Linked DNA regions of Nothobranchius furzeri. The protein of the gene in region 2 interacts with the protein of the main gene of each other region in a biochemical or structural test. Links are inferred from orthologs where the notes say so. Each region holds a gene or a part of one and is shown on either strand. Other genes may lie near its edges.

The links.
Region 1: of the proteins of pttg1 (region 2) and anapc11, one has a biochemical effect on the other in vitro, tested with the Homo sapiens proteins (3 studies listed by BioGRID). The link is inferred for Nothobranchius furzeri from reciprocal best matches to the Homo sapiens genes PTTG1 and ANAPC11.

Annotation. Positions count from the first base shown.
Region 1 is NC_091744.1:6,779,104-6,785,888, reverse strand, and holds anapc11 (anaphase-promoting complex subunit 11), read right to left. Parts: upstream 4,102-6,785; 5' UTR 3,752-4,101; coding exon 3,643-3,751; intron 3,052-3,642; coding exon 2,906-3,051; 3' UTR 2,783-2,905; downstream 1-2,782. UniProt on the Homo sapiens protein: Together with the cullin protein ANAPC2, constitutes the catalytic component of the anaphase promoting complex/cyclosome (APC/C), a cell cycle-regulated E3 ubiquitin ligase that controls progression through mitosis and the G1 phase of the cell cycle.
Region 2 is NC_091741.1:85,723,890-85,731,781, reverse strand, and holds pttg1 (securin), read left to right. Parts: upstream 1-2,964; 5' UTR 2,965-3,063; intron 3,064-3,603; 5' UTR 3,604-3,609; coding exon 3,610-3,694; intron 3,695-3,773; coding exon 3,774-3,907; intron 3,908-4,427; coding exon 4,428-4,509; intron 4,510-4,936; coding exon 4,937-5,101; intron 5,102-7,218; coding exon 7,219-7,298; 3' UTR 7,299-7,361; downstream 7,362-7,892. Other genes in the region: septin6 (septin-6), read right to left, coding at 703-817, 2,396-2,425; sowahd (ankyrin repeat domain-containing protein SOWAHC), read left to right, coding at 7,811-7,892. UniProt on the Homo sapiens protein: Regulatory protein, which plays a central role in chromosome stability, in the p53/TP53 pathway, and DNA repair. Probably acts by blocking the action of key proteins.

The DNA.
Region 1 (6,785 bases), on a different chromosome or scaffold from region 2:
CCACCCCCCACCCCCACCCCCGTGTCCCCTCCACTTCTAAAGTGAAAATTACGTCCATGGAGCCGCTAACAAATACACACACACACAGGCTCACAACGACATTGTGACATCATATGGTACCAGCTAACGTTCTAGGGTACGTCTTAGCCAATAGCGATGGCAGATTTAAATTCAATTGCAGTGCAGAGTTTTTACCTGACAACGGCACAACACTGACAGTTTTAGGCAGAATTTTGAAATTCTATTTAATTTAAATTTCAACTAAAATGCACTAAAGTGCTAAACTGTTGACTACACGTGTCTGCAGCACGATTAGATACGCATTTATATTCCGGACTCTTCTTCCAGCTCTTGGAGAGTACAGATACTTTTTTCTCCTCTCCCTCCCTCCTCATCCCAAGGCACTTTGTCCTGTCTTGTGTGCACGGCGCTTTCTGCATTTTTTCTGGAAACTGGAAATTATTAATAATGGATCTGGTCAGTTGGTCTCTCAACGCAATTGACAACAATTTTTCAACGATGAGAACGGGAGAAGGAGCTCCCGGATGCCCCTCTGGGACAGAGCCAGCTGGGTATATCATGGACTCCTGGAAAAGGTGGAACATGATATGCCTCTCTCAACTGTCTGTAGAGGATTCTGAAGATGTTTGGATATTTGTTGTTTTGGGGTCGGGATTCCTGCTGTTTGGCCTGAGCGGTTGCCTGGTTTACCTGAAAATTAACGAGCGTTCGAGGAATATTGGCTCAATCCCGGAGCTCATGGATGGAATGCATCGTGCTGTGAATGCACAAACTCATAAAATTGTCAAGATGAGTCAAAAGCTTGGAACTTTGGCTGAGATTCAGGCTCTGGCACAAAAGGTGGATATAAGGAGCGAGTGGATGGATCAGCATGGATTGGGATGGATTAATTATGCCATTGTTGGATCTAGAGGGGTTGAAGACCAACAAAACACTAAGGCAAAGAGGAAATTATTCTCTGTCTGTCCCCAAAACAATTTTTTTTATGAATCTGGTGCCCTTGGAGCCTGTGAGGCTGAAGTGATAACTCCCCCTCAGAAGAAATGTGGAATGCTGCCGTCACTATGGAAACTCTTTCTCCCTATCCCAGCCTGGGCGGGACTGTGACCGGTGAAGGCCGTGGAACCGTATCTAGGAGTCACTGTGCCCTCTAACCCATTATCTCCCTCCCCTGTCCAAATGGAGGTGACGAGCGCTGCCCCATGCGGCTGCACGCACTGAAGTGAGGAAAGTCCCAACCCTACCTCCCCACCTAGTGGACACTTATGTTGAATAATGTCTGAAGTCAGTGTGCATTTCTGTCTGAGGTGTATTTTTGCATAGCAAAGCTGTCCCCTCTGTGGAGGGTAACTCTGAAGTGCCTTTTTTTCCCCTCCCCCTGACTCTATCCTCATATGAACCCTCCTGATCTATTACTGTAGCGCGACTTGGGCTGCGAATGACCACAGTCACCAATTCTTGTCATGTGTCTATGTATGTATGTCTGATCTCAGAATTGTGTATACTAGTGCCCGACCGATATGCTTTTTTGGGACCGATACCGATATAAAACTTTTAACAAAGGCCGATAGCCGATATAATGGCCGATAAATCTCCCTCACAAAAAAAAAAAGAAAAAATTATTTTCTTAAGCTTAAACCTTGTTGCAAACTTACTTCTCTATTACACACCAAAGAACTGTCTCAATAACTCACTAGGGTTTCCAAGTAATGCAAATAAGATTTATTTAGCAGATCTCAAAAACAACAGAACACACAAACTCAGTCACAGCATAAATCTAACATTCAAGTTTTTTCTTGTAAACTGTGGTTTCCACAAATACATTTTAACTTAAAGGAATATTCCACCACTCAGTAAAATTGTGTCTTGTTAAGATTCCCCAGAGTTAAAGTCAGAAAAAGCATTTTATAACCAGCCCAATATGATCTGGTTGCAGCTGGTTTTCTTAGTTTAGCATAAAACAATGTAAGTGCATTCACATACATTGTTTTTTTAATGTAGGTGAATGCAAGCCTTCCCTTCCATTGCTTTATGCTAAAACGACTGTTTACAAAATGTTTTTTCTGACTTAGCTAACTCTGGGGAATCTAACAACACACACAAGTTTAGGGACAGAAGATCCCTATAAGAATGTTAAAATAATAAAAATGCAGCAATAAATATAACGTAATACGTGTGCTTTGTAACAAAGTAACACTCAGTGGAAGTTAACTTGGTGAACTTATTCACCCTGGACAGTAAATAATTGCACATAAGAAACATAAATAAGAATAAATAAATAAATAAGTTCCAAAACAATAATTTGTGTTCAAAGTTCAAAGGAGTGGAGACACACAACACGAGTTCATAAAGCTGGTGCCATCTGCTGGATAGGTAGCGCAATATCGGCCACATCAGCCGTCTTTTAGGCCAATACCCCAATATCGGCCGGCCGATATATCAGTCGGGCCCTAGTGTGTACAGAAACTCTAATTTCCCTCTGGGATTAATAAAGTATTTTTGAATTGAATATAGTTCATCAGAAAAGAAAGTTAATTTGGGGGTGACTTGCTCTCCAAGTACCTTTCTGGTCCTGCAGTGTCAAATCTATGATGAATATTTTTTTCAGCGGACCCTTTAGATACTGCTGTATAAAACTTATGTTTTTGTCCTTTATTTGACCATTTCCCCCTTTTTTTTAAACACAAACATCAACTAATTGAAAAGAATTGCAGTTTGAATCAGTCTGATGCAGCAGTAAATCAACAGCACAACAGCATAATTCATTTGTTTAGATTTAATCACAAACTTAACAGAAAAATTGTGCATCAGTGTAGACGAATACAACTCTTGTTATTTACAGCTGGGATAAAAATGTGGGAATTCTGCAAACAGATGAACAGATTCACTCCTTAAACTTCCATTCCTGGCGGCACATCGGACACTGCTGCTGCACCTGCTGTGAGTTCAGCCATTTCAGGATGCAGTGCATGTGGAAACAGTGGGAACACTGACCCCAGACCAGTGGGCAGTCATCTCCAGGAACTTTACCTGCAAAATGAGACTTTAATTACATTTTATTAATAGTCACTGTAAAAGGTTGAAGAGAACCTGCTGAAAAATACAGCACAGCTGGTTTGGTTTCCAGCATATGTTGTGCTTTTGTACTGGTACTGGTAAGATGCTCCACCATGTAATGCTAGTCTAGCATGGGATGCTGGACCAGCATTGTATGCTTGTCCACAAGCTAAACCAGCAACCTATGCTGTTTTTGAGATATGAGATGCAGACAACAAACATTCATAAGACCTTTCTTAAGGTGCTGTAGTAACATTTTACAGTTTGTTCTTCTACTGATCCAAAAGATGAAGGATGTTTTGTAATCCTTTGTCACTCAGATGTACCTAAATAGAATAAAATAGATCGTTGTAGGCCTCAGTTAGCCTTCCAGATCTCATTAGGGCAGGATCACCCTTAACAGCAAACATACCCTGAAACATTTTCCTTTCAGCAGCTCTGTAACAATAGTTTTAAGCTAATGTAAGGCATCCTATTCTAGTTCTGGACATTTAAAATCTAATTTTAGGACATCGGATTTGGTGCTACTTTCGAACCAGAACCCATCCCAGCTCGGTTACTCACACTCCGGGCAGCAGCCGTTGAAGGACATCCTGCAGATCCCGCAGTTTTCGTCGTTGGCCACCCACAACCAGGAGGCCACCCCGTTCCACTGCCTGATCTTAACTTTCATCCTCAAACCGCACTTCAGGTCCGCGAGTTATTCAGTTTCTTCCTTCCGACATCCAATAGCAGTAAAATACAACTTTGAAAAAGATTTGTTTTCTGCAACGTAAGGCTGTGTCCCGTTACTTCCGGGGTTGGCGTTCGTCTCACAGAAGCTGCATTGATCGCCACCAAATGCACTTTTTCCAGATTGAAATATTTACCACAGTTCACGGAGCAGCTACCAATGAGCCTTAATGATTTGCAACAACAGTAAAAACGTATGTTCATTAAAGTAAATGCACACACTTAGAATCAAATTAACTAGCTTAGCATTCTTCTACTTCTGTCATCCGGTGTTACAACGAAATATGTCCCTCTTTAGAAAAAGTAATTCTCACCTGCTACTCTGCGGTGTTTTATTTGCAGACATGCAAAGACATGTTGGCATGGAGGAATAACATCTCAGAAAATATACTTAATTCAATAACACATAATTTATGTACATTTGACAAATGAGCGATCACATTTTCCTGAGCCTTGAGGAAACTTAATTGTGGTACTAACCCATCTGTAATCCCCTTGCTAGAAAGGACCCAGATTTTTTAAATAACATAATTAAGAAATTTCCTACAAATATAATTGCTTAAAATGATAATAGCTAAACTCAGCTAGCTACGGCGCGACAAGCGCAGTTTTAATTGACTTTATATGAATAAAATGAGCTATTGCCGCCCTCCAGTGGCGAACAGTTGCAACTACATTTTGGTTCTGTTTAGAAGACATTTATTGAAGCTGTTTTTGGCCTTTTCGGATTATTTGTGTTAAGGAGAAGACGCATGAATAAATGAGGAGGGAACTATATTATAAAGTTACAATAGCTATAAATAAAAAATTAAATATGAAATATTTTTGAAAAGTTGGCAGCATTTGTGATTTTATCAATAATACCTAATTTTAGAGACTTTAATGAACCCATCTTTAAATTTTGATGCGTGCCAAAGTCCATTATACGTTTTAAGAATACATTTGCCATTTTAGTTTAGTGATTTTGTTGTCTTTAATCTGTTTTTAGAAATAAAAATACCTCAAAGCTGTAATCAGTAAGGACAACCATAACACCTCAACATTTACACCAATACATTAGAATTCCTTAAACCTGTCATCATCAGGTTAATCCATTCATTCAATCTGATCGTTTTATTGTAGTTTGAATTTTGTGTTATTCCTCCTCCACCCAGAAGGGGGCCACAGTTTAACCAGGAGGCAGAAAACAGGCCCTGTGGTTAGCTTCAGCATGCTTCTAAATGATAACCGTTGAGCTAGCCGTTCATTCTGAGTGGTAATATAAGTCACCCAACTTGCTTTAGTTGTTTGTTTTTTCTTTAATTTTTATCTTAATAGGAGACACTTTAAAGAAGGATATTTGTCCAGCAGATAAAAATAAGGTAAGGAGGACGTTTTTGTCTTAGCTCGTTGTTGTCGTCAACTAACCAAACACTGATGAGATAAGGTTTTAGCAAAACGCTCAATAGTCTGTCTTATTACGTCTAGGAAATGCATATCTAAGTGAGTTCAGTAATTGTACAAGTCATCAGAGTAAAATCAATTTAGCTAGCTGGCCTAGTAACGGGCCAGAAGGGACCAGAGGCATCAAAAGCTGCTTAACAATATGAGTTTAGTTTGAGACTGGTTACGCCAGTTAGCATTTACAACACGCTAAGAATCGGGGCCCTAAAAAGGCTAAATATGTCTTGTTCCCTTGAAGTTAAGGATGCATCTGCATTATTTGACCGATCTACTTATATCAGATTAATTCCGCCCAGATCAATCATAAAGTCTTGGCTAATACGAAAATCTAACGATCCAGACACTTAATCTGACCATCACTAGTTGGATTAAGTTTGTTAAATCTATTAAGATCTGAATCATGGAAGGATTCCAATGTGTTTGTTTATGTAAATAGCTCAAAAGCTCTTGCTCACATTGTTTCATCAGGTTTTTGCTTTGCTTTCAGTTGTTGGTGTCGCTGTGAAAAGATGTACTCAAACTGGTCTGAGTACAAGAAGCATGAAGGTGATAGAAGTTGGAGAAAGCGGAACAACAGTAACAGCAGATGGGAAGGAAAGTTTGAAGCCCAAATCCCACGGGACTCCTATCGGGGAGATGGACTCAGCAGCACCAAGATGGGGAGCAGAAGTCGAGAGTACATCGACTCTCCGAGCATATGGGCCAGTAAAGATTCACCAAACAGAGACCGGACCAGAATGAGTCCAGTGAGAAGACGTGTGTCCTCCTCATCTGTGTGGGATGCACCTGAAAAGAGAAGTCGAAGGTACACAGAGGATGACGACAGTGATGGTCGATATGGACATGAGTCTTTTGACCAGCTGCTAGGAGATAGTTTCTCACATCATCAAAAGTCCAAGGATTTCAAACACGCACCTTCACGTAAAGACGACTTCAGATACAGGAGGTCACCTTCAGATTTCAGATCCAGGAATTGGCGGGACGAGTTAGCGCAGGAAAAACGACAGGAAGATTTAAGCGACAGAAACGTTTTAAAGCGTTCTGATGGCAAAAGGAGACAGGAACATCCTCGGGAGAGGACTCGTTCACCAGATCACTTTATAAAGGTTAGTCACACATTTCAGTGTTTTGCATCAGGTTAATAACTGTTTAATGTTGAATTTTAATAAACTGTTAATTAAATATCTACATATCAAACAGACTTATGTCGATAGAGAGAGGATGGACAACCCCCCCTCGTATGATTATCATGAAGATTATCGTCAAGAAGGAACACGGGTTCCGTCGGACATATCCAGTAAAGAGGTGGGTTGGTTAATAGATGCTGTGTTTTATTTTCTACATATCTACACATAAACACAACTAATTATATGTTCTTTATCTCTGAGTTCTTTTTATCCTCTGGTTCAACCTTCATGTTGTTTTTATTTCACTGAGTCATAAACTGTGTGTTGTGTTCATAGATTTATCAAAGTTGGTAAATATTTTGTCACAGTTTGGATTTCTTTGATTCATTCAGCTGGAAACTGAAA
Region 2 (7,892 bases):
ATCTTATTCTTCAGCAGAAAAAAGCAACATAGTCCTAAACAACTCAAAGCAGGACAAAAGTCTATTGTTTTCTGGACATTTGACAGGTCCCAGACAGGAAAACACATTAAAGGGAACTTTACAGATTTCACACGGTGACGGTGGCACAGGTTAGGTGCTCGCCCCGTAATTGGAAGGTTGCAGGTTTGAGCCCTGCTCAGTTTGTCACTGCCATTGTGTCATTGGGCAAGACCCTTAACCCCCCTTGCCTGATTGTGGTGGTCGGAGGGGCCGGTGGCGCCAGTGCTCAGCAGCCTCGCTTCTGTCGGAGTGCCCCAGGGCAGCTGTGGCTACATCGTAGCTCATCTCCACCTGGGTGTGAATGGGTGAATGACTGATTGTGTTGTAAAGCGCCTCGTGTGTGTGTGTGTGTGTGTGTGGTGGTGGTGGTGGGGGGGGGGGGGGGGTCCAGGAATCTAAAAGGCCCTATATCAAATACAGGCCATGCACCATTCAGTGTGCAGAAGATCCAAAAAACAAGACTGCCTGAGTTATGATGTGTGTGTGTTTCCTACTTCCTATAAAAACCAGGAGCATCTTCCTCATACTGGTAAACTGAACCTATAAATGAATTTCATTGATCTGTGTTTTACCACATGAAGGTGCTGCGTGGAAATAAAATCACCAAGTTTTGAACTCCATGCTGATGGTCTTTACACTTACCAACGCAGAGGATGTTAAAGCAGAAGCCACGGTTGACAGACTTGTTGACCAACTGGTCAGGCATGCTATCAAAACCAACATGGCCGGCCAGAGGCACAGCCCGAACTCCTTCACCCTGAAAAACAAAAGAAATCAACAACAACTATCAGTTAATTGGTCTCTTTACAATGATAGGTTTTGTCTGGGTGCAATTTCAGAACAAGATTAAGACGCACTTAAAAAAAGCCCCATGATGGAGCCATGTTTTCCACCAGAGATTGTTAAGAGAATAAGCCTGAGTTCAGGTGAAGTCATTCACTTCCTGTTTTCTCAGCAGCAGCTCTCTTCCGTCAGACGGTTCAAAACCACTGTGTACATATATGGAAAGACACTGCTGTTCATGTCTAGATAAGAAAGATCCAAGCAAATGTAATAAAAACTCATTTAATGATGATTAAAAGCTTAAGAGCCAGCTCTGTGACTGGGATTAGATGAATCTTCCGCTATACTTTTAAACACACACATCAAAAATAAAAAAAAGGGTCAACGTGCTGCTGTTAAAAGTGTGTGGGGGTGTTTAGCTGGTAGTAAGCATCCCGATCGCTGTGATTCTCGTTTCTACTGCCTACATTTATATCAAGAGCTACAGGGAAGCAAAGAATTTACGTTGGATGCCAGAAGCAAAAGCTCTCCACCAGCTGAACCTCAGACAACCGGCTATTATGTGGCTTAGCATAACAGTGTTGTTGTCCAATTTGACAAAGACTTTGAGCGAAAAATACTCTGTAAATTTAAAATACCCAAACATTCTGGTGTCACTGAACAGTCGTGGAATATTCTGAAGCTGGGTTTGAACAGCTGAGGACCTGAAGAAATCTGGGACTAATGTAACTGAACAAACAGCCTGTTTAATGTTGAGAATGCAAGCACAACATTCCTGAAATCATCCTCGCTTTTCATGACGCTCACAGCCAAGAAGCACACAGCCGGTTTCATTCATTGAGCCACAATGGGGTATCAAACTGCACTATCTTGCTATTCTAAGAACTCCCTCTGGGTTAAGTGGCTTCCTTTCCCCACTTAAAAAACAAGCTTGGATAACAAGGAGTGTGTAAAATCCCCTTTCCTCTCCAAAACAAGTCTTGAACTCTTGTCTTTGTTTTGCAAGCAATCAAGACAACGCCTGTGTGAAAGTTAACGGGTTCCTAAATAAAACACGGTAACGGAAATGAGCACCGAGGTTGTGCTGAAACGGGGGCTTTCAGAATGAATGGCCTACCGATCGATCTGTGTGGATCCGTCATTTTTAACGATCCAGCACCTACTAAACTCAATTAAACATTTAAAATCACACAATGTGCCATTTCGCCATGCATTTGTTTCAAATAAACACCACATGAAATCTAAGGGCATTTGCAAATGCAATGCTAAAGCTGTTTCACCGGAAAGGTAAATGCACGAGGTGATGCGCCTTGATTTAACATCATCAGACGAAGAGCATTTTAGATGCATAATTTGTTATCTAAAAACACGATTTATTATAAACAGACTCTAAATTAGCAACGCAATGGTGAATTTCGAATGTGAACACGGGTGTTAGCAAGCTAACCGACTCCAAAATAACCCGTTACACAAATAAGTTGAAACGATTCCCAGCATATCGAAGATGTAATAAATGCATACAATGGATTTTAGAGTCAAACAGACTACTTACGGCTTGCCTTGCTATCTCAGTTGACGCCATGGTGAGTGTTAGTAGCCGGAGGACGAACCCACTGTCGCTCTGACTTCAGCAAAGGAAGCTGCGCCGCTACGCTGAAACCTGGCCTGCTTGAAATGTACCATTTTATCAAAGTATGTCGCATTTCTTATAAAGGTAGTAGCTGAACTTCCAATGACAATACATATGTATCTGTTAAAACCGATGACTTCTATTAACAGAAGCGGCTTCTAAATGATGGCAGAAGACATAAAATAACACATAAAGAAAGTCCCCCATCGAATGCTTTAATGGTTTCGTCTGATATGAATGGTAGTGAGCAGATGTGATGTAACTTGATAAAATAAAGAAGCACACAGACACACATAACATCCTGAAACAAATTAGTTTAGTTTATAGTAGTGGCCGACAATTTTGTAAAGCATGTGTAGCCATGAGCGTAAATAAATCAGGTGTTACGACTCACAATTAATCTTCAATGCTAACAACACTTAGTAGGCGACGCCTATTTTAGTCACGTGCGTGATATTGGCCAATAGGAAGGATGCCGTGAATTTAAAATTGGCTCGCGGTCGTTCGTTCGTACACAGTTTCTTAACCTCAACCGAGTGAGCAGCACGGTCAGGTCGAGTCTACTGAGTTAGAGGTTGTGTTTCGTAGAGGTGAGTTATCAAAGAGAGCAGTTCAAGTTAAATTTATAGTTTATTTTCTTTGAATGGGTCAAGATAATATCCATAAACCCGCGAACGATTAAGACGTTATACAGCGCTAGCATATAAGCTAACATTTGATTGTTTTGTTTTTTTAAATATCTGTTTAGCGGTCAAAAAACCGTTGTTAACGTTTGTATGTCAGTGTTCGGGAAAAGTTTAAAAAATAAACACTTGTCAAAAATTTCTGATAGGTTTGATTGGTACTCAGGTGATCTGTTTTCAGTAAATAAAGGTGACTAACTTGAAATAAAATGTATATTTTGGGATTGGATAAGTGTTCTATAAAATAATTGCTAAAGGCTTCAAACTAGATATTTAAAGTAGTTTAAAACAAATAAGCTTGTATTAAATTAATTTAGGATTTGGCTAAATCTGTTTTGCCTTTTTCCCCCACTGCTGAAAGTTTACAAAGCTCACTTTTAGCTTTGCTGTTTTGAAAAACGTTTTTGCATTTTGGTGCAGAATATAACGTTTGCATGTGTTTGTCAGATAAAAATGGCAAACATCCTTGCAGAGCAAGAAAATGCTGGTCTTCATGTGCCTTCGCTGAAGATGCGACAGCGACTTCAGTCTGCTCCAGGTATTCTGAACTGAATATTTTTCCTATGTTAGCAGGTGATGTTGGATGTGAGTTCACATTTTTTTTATTTTTCTACCAGAGAAACTTCTGAATTCAGAGGCAGCTAAATCTGTTAAAACACCTCTGCCATTTGGTCGTAAAGCTTTTGGAGCTGTGAACAAGGTTTTGACCCCAGCAGTCTCTGCACAGGAGAAGACTCTATTGAAGCCACAGGTTGGGTTCTGGACAGTCTTCAGTTCACGCATAAAAAAATATTTTGACAAAGTATTATTTGCATCTTTTTGTATGAAGTTCAAATCACAGCTAAGATGCCATACTAAACTAAAAGTTCAGGGGTCTAATTTATCAAATATTGCGTAGAATCCTTAATAAAACTGTACTTAAGCTCAGCAAAAAAAATGTACTTGTTGCTTATTCTGTGTGAGCACAAAGTGGTACAAGTGATAATGCTGCTGGAATTAATAATTTTATCATTCTCAGCAGCAGCACTGCAGGTGCTCTCCATGTCCAGAATGTGCGTAAGCAAGGTCCTTGGTCAACTTAAAGTTGTGCACATTTTTCCGCTAAGTTCTTTCATAAATCCCAAAGTTTGCGTGGAAAGTTGCTTACGCAGTTTTCCGACCCCGTTTTGTGCGTAAGCAAGCTTGATAAATGAGGCCCCAGATCTTTGCCATCCATTTCTCTTTACCTTGTTGTACCAAGTCAATGTTTTGTTTTGTTTTTGTTTCAATAGGAAAACAAAGTCGAGCCTGCTCCTCAAACCAAAATTGAGGAATATCCAGAAATTGAGAAGTTTATCCCGTATGACCCCTTGGGTAAATTGAGTTTGACTTTTATTCAGTTGCCTAAAACAATACATTTCAGTGAAGTCGATACTTATTTCCCCCTCAATTGCAAACTATTATACACACAGTGTATAATAGTTTGCAAAAGATGGCTGATGTAGAAATATCAAGCTTCTAGGTACGAGTTCCCCGCATTGTTGCCACTAAATAAAAATTCCTGCTCAAAATAATTGCTCAGATTTTTAGTTTACAAACTCAATAGATTTCCACCAGCATCTGACTTAAGCTGGTCATTATTAAAGTTGAGCATCTATACACTGCAAAAGAGGCTCCAACACACGTGATCTAATTTCCTTCCTATAGAAACTTTAGACAAGTTTAATGTTCTATATTGCTTTGTCTTGTGCTCGGAGGACTGTTTTCTGCATGTTTTAAACAAGGTTCTAATGTTTCCCAGAGTTTGAGAGGTACAGCGTCCCTGAGGACTTGATCCCTCTTAGCTGCTTGGCACTTCCTGGTTTGGCCTGTTTTCCCACAACTCTTTCTAAGCTGTGTGAGGAGGATTTGACAGAGATGGCTCCACTTCCAGACTTGTCACCCATAAAGATGCCAAAATATTCAGGTATGCACTTAATATTTACTCTTAACTGTTTGCATTTATGCTTCATAGTTACTAAGTTGATTTCTAACTCAACTTTCTAAAAGGCAGACCACTGATGATGGCTTAGCCCACCTGATAGAAACTCTTGACTTTAAATGTCTGAATATGACTCTTTAATTCCTGAACTGTTCATCTTCCCTCGTGGCATAATGATGGATAATCTGGCAATTTTGTGAAACTCTTTCAAACAATGATTGTCGAGCTAAGCATTAACAGACAACATACTCTAATGGTAACTGTCTTCCTTGAGGGCCAGTATCCAGCATGTTTTAGTTGTTTCCCTGTTCCAACACATGATTTTAATCAGCAGGAGCTTGGTGAGCTGCTGAACAAGTGAATCAACAAAAACATGAGTGGTAGTACTCTGGGACCAGGCTTGCCTACGCCTGCTCTCATTCAACACACTTCAATCACCTGTCATCAAGCTCTGCAGAAGCCTGTTAATCACCTGCTGATTAAAATCAGGCACATTGAAGCAGGGAAACTAGTAAAACGTACCGGCCCACGGGGAAGGGAGTTTGGATCACTGATATGCATCCCAGTGTTTCCCTTACATAGGCGTAGCCGTGGCGGCCCACCATGGCTAAAATCCCACTGCCACGCCTACAAGGTCCCAAGTTTTATTTCTTTATTTATTTTTTGCGCCGTTTCCCGAAGAAGCAGCAGGAACTACTGTGTTGTTGCTTGTGATCACAGCTGGCAGGCAGCAAGGAGGAGGCAGGGTGGTTACAGCTAGGGATGAGTGTACGGATAAAGCATTTTTGACTAATACGAGTGTAAAACTCGTAAATATCTGTAATCGTGCTGAAGGAAAATCCTCATTGGGTAACTGTCTTTACGCTCTGTGGTTGGCCAGACACATAGAGCGCCCGCCCCTCCCTACACACAACTCTGCAGCTGAGACGGGAGCTCAGTCCGCTCGGCCCAGGCATCCACGCACACACAGACCGTAACGGATCTGTGCTTGCTTCACTGTTGTTCACGTTTCTTCGGTACTCCTTAGGTTTTCTTCAGCTCGCCTCTTTCAGTTCAATATTTAAATTTACTTTTTTCGTAACTTACATGGTGCATTTGACAAGACGGAGCGAAAAACTGCTCGTGCATGCGTTGGTCACTGCCTCTGCTCCGGTCAGGTTTTTTAAATTTATATTTACACTCTTCTCCCTCTCTCACACACCTTGATCAACATTGTTTTGTTTAACTGTGTATAGGGAAAAATGCCAACAATGTTGGGAAACAAATCAGTTTAATCAAATTAAAATTTAAAAAAGTTGTGTCTGGTTCTAGTATTTCATATATCCTAGTTCCTACTGCATGAGTTCAGATGTATTAATTCATGCACTTGAATAATATTCTGATTTTACTGAAACTGGTTCTGTAATAGTTCCTTTACTATTGTGATCAAAAATATTTAATCTCAATTCTGAGGCTGCTCTGTAAATAGTTTTAAAATAAACACACATAGCAACTTCTGATCAATCCATATCAATTTCAGACTTAAAATAATGTATTGATGTAAACCACACACACTAATTTCCAAATAAGATGCATTAATCTGTATCTCCTTTGATCTGCATTAGTGATATTTTTAGCACCAGAACAGTGAAGCAAAGAAACAGATTCCTGAGTTTGTTAGTAATTTTATTTATTAGGTGCATCTGACCTGTTCTATTCTCTGAAATGAGATAAAATCAGTGCTTCTATGGGTTGTCTCCTCTCTGCACTAGAAACATGTACTTTATTTTAATGTTCACTGTAATGCATCTTGATCTTAACAAATGAATAACATCAAAGATATTGGTCAAGGCCAAATATGTAAATTTGTTTCGGTCATTGAAAGCACATGAAACTATGAATTCACCACAGATTATTGGCCAGCTGAGATGGATCATCTGAGTCATAAAAGCAGAACCTTTGAACAGGGTAATCTGTGGCTGTGAGGTAAATGTTGGGTGTAGCTTTGTGATTTAAGACTTATTTAAATCAGTGTGTAGCACTCTGTAATGATAGATGTGTGCAGTAGCTAATTGAAGCCTGAGTCTGGAGCACATCATTAACCATACTGTCTTCATTTTCAGATGAGCGTTTGGAGCTGGAGGATTTCCTACAAACACTTGATGAGCTGACAGAGCTTCCTCCAGAGCCTGTTGACTTTTAGTGTGTTTTGTTTTTTTTGGTGTGTTTGTCATTTTATTCAAATAAAGTTGTTTTACCTACTGTTCCTAATCTGCCATGCATCACTTAATGATTAGCAAACTGGGTATCGCGACTTCCTGCTTTAAAGTCCATCAGAGGTCACATGAGGATTATCATGGCCCTTTGTGCGAACAGAATGAACCTTGTCTCAGTTCCTCTTAAAAGTTGAATCTGCTTTACAAACAAAACTGAAAGCGTTCAGTTTAGCAAACCTGATTTAGGTCTTGATTGGTGTAATCAGACCTGACCTGAGCTTTGGGCACAGCAGGTGAGTTAACGTGGCGGCTGGTTGGAGGAAACGGTGGTTTCAGGTTAGTCTTTATGGGTTTAAAATGTTCCTAAACGTGTGGAATTGTGTCTTTAACACAGGAAATGAGAACAGTAGAACAGACGGGTCTTGCGCAAGTTTAAACCCAAAGACATCTTCAGGGTGTTTTAACTAAAGGAAATAGCCCCGAGCTGTGGGGGAGCAGCATGTACAGGAGAGGATCCGAGCCAGCTGTCAGCATGAATACCGACGCCCACGACAGCAGGGCATTCAGAAGGACCTCCGTTG